Linked DNA regions of Arabidopsis thaliana. The protein of the gene in region 1 interacts with the protein of each later gene in a pairwise test. Each region holds a gene or a part of one and is shown on either strand. Other genes may lie near its edges.

Region 1 (3,994 bases):
CGATTTTGGCTCACGTCATTGTTATTAAAAATGTATGCATGCGTGAAAAATAAGTGTAGGGTAAAAAGAAGAAAGTTTGTTGAGGCAAAGTTGCCTTAGAAAGCGGGGGAATTTCTCTCTTTCACTCACTGACATTATGTCTTTGTGTACTCACTCTCAGTACCAGTTTATTAAAGTATAAATAAAATGATATTGATGAAGAGAAACAATATATATTACACGAAGATAAAAAGATAAATTACGTAAGTAATATACTAATATTGTCATATATTTATGGAGACATAAAAAACCAAAAAAAAAAGATCTTGAGGTGATGAAAACGAACTTTTTGCAAGCGTCGTTGTTGTAGGCATTGCGGATGACTTAAAAATAATCAAATAAACAAAGAGAATGATACGTTTTATTAAATCATACATATGTCTTAAGTTATATTTTAAAATTTTAAATCATAGCCTCAACGAAGTTTGAAAAGGGATTTCAATTAATTTTTGCAAAAAGTTAATAGCAAATAAGTTCAGAGAGATAGAAAATAAATGTATCATCCAAATAGAAGAAATATAAATAAAGAAGAAAAAATTGATGTTAAAAAAAAAAGTTAAGGAATAACCCGACCCGAACAACCCGGTTTAGCCAAAATCTCAGGACTAGAAAATAATCAAATATGCTGGCAAGGCCAATTCGGTCCCATTAATAACTTATACATTGAATATCATAACATTTTTTGTTTTTTTCTTTCACAAATTATAGGAAAAATGGGTAAAAAACCATCACCAAATATTGTGTAAATATTTTACTAAATTGCATAACAATTTATAAGTTCTTTATAATATACACCATTCACCACTTAGTTTATTCTAATTATCTACATATACATTTTTGCAGCCACTTTGTAAAATAAATCCTGGAGTTGGGATTTATTTACAGTGGCTGCCACTGACATTTAATAATTATTTTAGATAATTAGAAAGAAAATCTTCTAATTAAATATTTGACATTTAACAATCTTCTTAAAATCTTTCTACCTTAACTACACGATTAATTACTAAAATAAAACTTTCAAAATATTTAATATCATTTAATTACTACAAAATTATCATTTTTGATGTTGCTTTTCTGCATGATTATAATCATCAAATCGCAGAGATATTTGATAGCATGTAATTACTACAAAATTACAAAATATTTAGACAATAATTCATAAACATATCATAAATAAGGTCAACATTAATAAAATAAATGAGTTTTCTTTACAGGACAGGTTGGCGGGACGGGTTTGGCAGGACGTTACGTAATAATAATTATAAACTATAAAATAAAAATATTTTATAAATAGATACAATTTACAATATATATATTAATTTAAAAAATAAATTGTTCCCCCGATATACCGCGAGTTTAAATATAGTTTTATATACATTTTGCTAGACTGCGATCTTGTAATCTTCTGATAACATCACAAGTTGGATACAATTTTTTTTTTCTCATCATGTCTCTTCTAAATTTTATTCTTTTTTCGTTAACATTTTATCCTTCAACTTACCACCCTCGTTATACTTTTTTTTTTCATTTAAGAAATGTAGTTTAGTTTTACATGCCTTTACTTATGAAGTTTTTAAACTTTACGATGGGTATTGTAATTTTGCTAACCTATTTTTAATATATATATAAAATCAAGAGATTTAAAAACTGATTTCTTAAAGAATTATCTATATGGTAAATAGTTCATGATTAATTTACCAGTCAACAACCGAGATTCAATGTCTCCAGCAAGGGAAATAATCACAAAAATATTTTGAAACAAATCTTTGACTACCTTTTAATACCATATCTTATTAATCATCACAATATTTGAAAATTATATATATTATTAAATAATTATATTAGTTGCATCATGTTTAAATAACATTACCAGATTGATATTTATTGATGATTTTTGCTGTTAAAAACTAAATTTGCTAGCTAAACATTTTATCCTATTTTATTGTTTTGATGTTACCACTCTATAAATATTTGGACTATAGTTCTACATATGTCAATCAGTAGTGATAATACATGTAGTAAATAAGAAAAACGGTTATAATCTCTATCTTCAATCCATTCAGATTTTTTTTATAATGTTCATGCATTAAAGCTTGATTTGGAAGTTTATATTTTCTTGTATTAAAATAAAGATACCCTATATAACAAATATTTGTACCTTCTCAGTACTACATAATACTACACATTAACAATCTCAAAATATACAAAAAAACATTTTAATGACGAGAAATAAAATGAAACTTGCTTTCATTTCCAACGATTCTTCAAGAAAAGCAACTTTCAAAAAAGAAAGAAGGGGTTGATGAAGAAAGTACATGAACTCTCAACTCTATGTGGCATCACATCGTGTGCGATCATCTACAGTCCGTATGATACCAGTCATGAAGTGTGGCCATCAAATTCTGGTGTGCAAAGAGTGGTTTCCGAATTTAGGACACTCCCGGAAATGGATCAACACAAAAAGATGGTAGATCAAGAAGGTTTTCTCAAACAAAGGATCGCGAAACCGACAGAGAATTTGAGGAGACAAAGAAAGGACAATAAGGAGCTCGAGATGACTGAAGTCATGTTTCGATGCTTAATTGGAAACATGGAGATGCTTAAATCAGAATCACAATCAGAATCAACAACAATGGTTTATGAAAATGATGAACCATCTTGAGCAAATGAAGTATCCAGGAGAGCAAATGGCGTTTCAATTCATGGATGATAGCCAACACAACCACATCCACCGTCATCAACAAGAGCACCAACATCATATCCCTGGAGAATCTTCCATCGCTCTTGATGTCGGCAACTCAAGCGATATCGTACATAGTTCTTGTTCTAAGTATTTCCAATAATAAATGGTTTCGTTAGGATTTTATTTAATGTGGTATTACAATAATTTCGAGAATGGATTGATAAGTGAATTTATAATTAGCTTTCAGTTTTTTTGTCATGTAATAGATTGCATCACAATTTATGTTTTTATTGTTATCAGTTTGATGATGGTGATATTTTTCATTCTATTTTCACAATGATATGTTGTTTTTAAATTTAGAGATTTGTGATACTCTTATTTTTATTGTTTCATTTTTCCGTTTATGTGTTGTTTTTCAACATATGTCTTACCTTTATTAATTCTTTAATAACATTTTGAGCAGATTAGATTTAAGGTTTCTTTTCAATTTTAGAACTGTTGAGATTTTATATTTTTTCTTTCAAATATAAAATATGACAGCTCACATTTTAAAAAAGAAAATATTTTCGTTTAAAGTGTTAAGTACAAATATTATATAATATATAATCAATAATATACACTGAAATGTTAATGTACCTAACATATTGTAAACCATTTAAAATTCTTTTAAAAACTCTTGTAAACCCTTTAATATTATGTGAACCATTTTAAAAGTCTTGTGAACCTACAACTCAATTTACTGTTTTATTGTCTTTTAGGTTCATCTACTTTGTCTAGCTTAATATTAGTCATCATAAGTTTATTGTGTTAACAACGAGAGCTTAGTGGAATTTGACCCTTAAGTGCTAACAACGATCTCTTATTTGTGGGAGTAAGCATAAGGCAATTTGAGCTATATCAACTCCGAAGCAAAACAAACTACATTACAAAAACATTTTAATCATGACTATCAAAAAACAAAATCCTTTTAAGTATTTTATCAACACACACTTGAACTTTAAAATCATAATAAATTTATTTTTAACACCATCAATAATATTTTTTAACACCTTCTGACATATCAAATCAACTTGATCTAGTAGAGATTATATAAAACAAAAAATTATCATGCAGTATACTATTACTTAATGACAATCATGCATAAATTATTTGCAAACTTTTATATAAAATACATAATCATATTAAAATCACAAATTTTAGAAAACAAATCATCCCATGGTGTAACATATCAATACCTAGTTAATGCTACAAATTTCAAGCCCAGACAAAGAT
Region 2 (4,416 bases), on another chromosome or scaffold:
CAAAAATCTCACGCTGTATGTCATAATCTATCTTGTTGAGATCAAGTTGAATCTATATGTAAACCCGAATCTGAACGATTTCAATATTGCTAAATTTTGCTTTACTGCCATGTAAGATTATAAAACTCTAGAATTTTCTATTTTTCATCAACAACTTACACATATTTGATTTTAGATCGTATTAAAATTCAGATTATTACATGGAAACAGTATAACATAAACCACTAAATTACAAACCTGAGTCGAATGATATTGCTTTCATTCGATATATTATAAGGTCATATAGTAATTTATGTTTTCTTTATTTTTCATCTATTTGTCCCAATCGAAAAAACCTTCATATTCAAGTTCTTCATCTTTCAACCATCTTTGACGAATCATAGGTTTTTCTTTTCCACCATCTCCCAAGACCCGCCAGATACAAAGATCAGAATGGTCTCTCCGATCTTTAAATCATAGGTTAGATCCAAAAGTCAGTCAAAAAAAAAAAAAAAAACTAAAATACAACTTATACATAAAAAAATTTAACATCAAAACACCATTAAAAGGTGAGGCAACCACGGAAAAAAGGTAGATGCATGACATCATGAGCATTTCAAATGCCGAAAGTTATTAGGATTTAGCGAAGTATTGTTTCGAAGAACCACGTTATATCGTTCGAAAATAAAAAAAAAATTCTAATAGCACGAGTTTAAAGTTGAAACTACTTGATAACCAATTTAGGGAAACGAAGTATTTGAACTGTTGTTAACAATCGACTTCTAAGTTCTAATGACATAAGCTTCTTTTGAGTCGAAGCTCCTTTCCTTGAAATAGATAGACCCAGAATGTTTTTTGCCCCAGCTTATCACCAATGTTTTTGTGTTCTGACAATACTAATACATGTCTTGATCGACAGTTTCTTATTTTAAATCTCGTTATTCGTCTGTATCATTCTCATTGACAATTTAGTTCTTCGAATATTAGCGCTTCAGTTAAAAATCCTAGTTATCATATTTGCTATTTTATTGTGAAGATAGTACACAGTATACGATACAAACAAGTTGAAGAAACATACCTCCTTCAAACGTATATTTACAGCAAAAAAACTATATGAAAACATATTTCAATCCCTTTGAGTACAGTATATACCTAATTTCTATATGTACTATAAAAAGAAAAACCAAACAATACCTGTAAGTAATATGTCTTACAATATGTATATTCCTAGCTCAAAAGGTTAAAAACTACTAACCATTTAGTTACAACATAACAACCACATTTTCTATAATCTACACTATATAATTAGCTTCCGTTAGTATTAATTTTAGAAAGGAGCACGGTGTGGGACGCCCTTCCGTCTACTTGAATTCCGGTGATTATATATCGGCGGTGTCCCCGGAGAAAGTTTAAAACCGCTCTCATCACCGGAGCTCGAAGACGGTTGATCTCCTGACAAGTAATCACATTTAACGGTGGAGATGGAAAGACCACTCATCAGACGGTTGAAAGCACATGTCTTGCGTATCTTAGTTGGTGTAGTCGCTTCATCAGATTCCCACTCACCTTCGTACTCTCTTCCATGCTTCCCTCTCAAAGAGAAGGTTAGACTTGGATCACGCTTCATTCCTCCAAGCTGAAATAAACCAAACAAAAGGGCAATATGGTCATTTCAACTATACAGAGCAAATTCAGATATTCATTCAAAACAGAGGAAAACAGAGGAAAGAAGAGTTACTTTGCAACCGAGAGAGCAGAAACGGAAAGAATCGAGAAGGCTTCTGCAACAGATTTCACAAGTATTGGTGACTCCTTTGCCGATTCTTGGCTGAGGACGTTCGTTCAAGAAAACGATCCTTGCGCTGTTGATTATATATGTCTGAACACAAGATATGTCTATGTACTTCTGAATCTCGTTTACTCTCACAACGTTGTGGTACGATGATCTCCGTATCTGCAAGTAATGAAAATCCCATTTTCTTAACTCTGTTGGGTGAATTGGTAAGAGAGAAAAAAATGATTTGAAGTTGATGAAAGAACCTGGAGGACACGATGGTTTCTGTGATTGAGCAAACAGTAAGAGCAAAAGGCCTCAGAAGAACAGTCAAGACAGAACATGTTGCACTCGCTTTTGTTGGAAGCGGCGTGGATTGAACAAGGGATGAAGTAGTTTGCTCTTAGCATTGGGATTAGCCATGGTGGAGGATTTAGATTGTAGTTATCTTCTTCTGCTCTCATCATCATCGGTCCCTGAAGAATGTTTAGACCAGTTCCAAATGGTTAATATAAGAATTTGCAAAGAAACTAAAACAGAGTTAAGTAAGAAAGAGAATCAATCAATCACCATAGTTATTGTGAGTTTTGATAGCCAGCTTCAACAGTGAAGAAGAGCAGATTTGATTGAAAAGACTATGAGAGGATTTGAGTTTAGTGGGAGGAGGCGGCGGCTATAGCTGAAAAAGAGAAGTTGAGGTTTTTCTTGTTTTTTGAAGTCGGTCACGATAATACTCAATACGTTTTATAATTCACATGAAAATCATTTAATATCATCCCCTTTTTAAACTGTTTTTATATAGTTTTTTCTTTAATTACTTTTTTTGGCTAAAAATAAGTGTTCTCTAATTTTGCTTTAAAGTCTATGAGAGACACACGTATATTTTGTGCACATGTGTGGGTCTCTAGAGACCCCAGAAGTAAAGGAACTTAAAAAAAAAAGGTGGTGTTATTGATAATTTTGAATCATTATTGTTCACAAATGATGATAAATAATTTTATGTCGTGGTTCGCGACAAAATATCGAATTAGCCGACTATATTATTCGGTCCTACATAATTCCCAACGTAGGAAGATATTTTTTCTACCAAATTTGATTGTCTTAATATCTACTACTATTCATTATGTTTGTGATAGATTATGATATTCACATACATACGGATTATTGGAAGTATCATACGGCCATAGAAGAGAACTCTGAGTTTGGAATTTGGATGCTAAATTTTAGCTACAAGAAATAATTTGTTTTTTTCTTAAAATTTTAAAAGGTCAAAATTAGAAACACGTGGCTAGAGGTGAAGAGCCAGAGAGATGGACCGACACGAGAGGAGACAGAACCGAATTGGAGATTCTGGTGTGAACCGTTGGATTAAAAAGACAAAATCTTTTATAATGTAACGTGGCTCACGCTTTTGGCCCTTTTGGTAGTTCAACCCACATGACCAATCTTAGACCGTCGGATGAAGAAGTTGAGTGGACCGTACATAAGCCACCTCTTGAAATCGTAGGGTTCGAAAGCGTCTGTTACGTGCCAAAGAGTTCTTATCATCTAGTGAGTACTTTTCGCTGAAAGTGCTTTAAACTAGTTTCAAGATTGTGTGTGTGTGATCTAAACTGTTAGATTTTTACGGTCAAAGTGATATCTATATTAGTTGTACGGCTTATGTGTGTGTGAAACTGTTCACATATATGATCTCTTTAGGCTCAAACTGTTAGAAGCTTTCATTTTTTTTATCAGCTGTTGACAAAAGAAACTGTACATACTACTATTATCACCGTTAAATCCATCTTAATATTCATACTTGATAGCTTATATTGGGGGCTGGTAACGAATTAATGAAGCTAGAAAGATAGTTTCAATAGATATGATCAAAAAGTTTGCAATTAATTTGAGATTGCGGATGATATGTCGAAACTACGAGTAAGTTTTCTAGTCCCTACCCAAAAATTATGCAATAGAAGTATCTGTCTTCGACGTATTTTTCAGTCCGCTATCTTCTACATATAATAGAGTTTGAAAGTTAAGTCTTCCGGCAAAATCCAATAACAAGTATTTTTAAGTATCTTATCTTAAATGACAAGTAGTAAATAATCAACATAGATATATAATGTATTACTCGAGAAAGAGACCTGATATCATATTATATGGGATAAGAAACCTAAAGAGATAATAATAAAAAGAGAAGTGTGATCCACGTAATCAGATAGTAGCTATCTATAGAAAATTACACATAACAACTAATTGTTCAAAATGTTGGGAGAAAAGTCGACGAATCATCGTCTTCTTTTCTGCGATCTTATCTCTTTCAACTACACACAAAAGAGATTAGTTTTATTGTTTTGTTTGTATTCATAAAGTGAGTAAATTGAAAAATATCCCAAACAAATGTGGGAAGAAGAAGGTAAAGATGGGGCAATGCACTGTTGACCGACCTCAACAATAGTAGTCAATAGCACGAGACTCACGTGACCGTTGTGGTTTATTTGTGAAGAATCATCTTCACTTTTTAAGATGTCCCTTTAAAATGTTTAGCAAGTAGTGGCTAATACTACTTTTACGTAGGATTAACCAAAAAGGTATTACATTACAATTTTACAACAATGTTCAACTACGTTCACAACTCTACAGAGATACAATAAACACACAGGAGAAAACAGCTTCAG

What was found. Proteins that work in one complex are often made in the same cells at the same time.
Region 2: the proteins of AT5G27810 (region 1) and AT1G76590 interact in a two-hybrid assay, tested with the Arabidopsis thaliana proteins (one large-scale study listed by BioGRID).

What each region holds. Positions count from the first base shown.
Region 1 is NC_003076.8:9,853,486-9,857,479, forward strand, and holds AT5G27810 (MADS-box transcription factor family protein), read left to right. Parts: upstream 1-2,185; 5' UTR 2,186-2,341; coding exon 2,342-2,701; 3' UTR 2,702-2,973; downstream 2,974-3,994.
Region 2 is NC_003070.9:28,738,785-28,743,200, reverse strand, and holds AT1G76590 (PLATZ transcription factor family protein), read right to left. Parts: upstream 2,662-4,416; 5' UTR 2,327-2,661; coding exon 2,324-2,326; intron 2,230-2,323; coding exon 2,020-2,229; intron 1,934-2,019; coding exon 1,718-1,933; intron 1,616-1,717; coding exon 1,307-1,615; 3' UTR 970-1,306; downstream 1-969.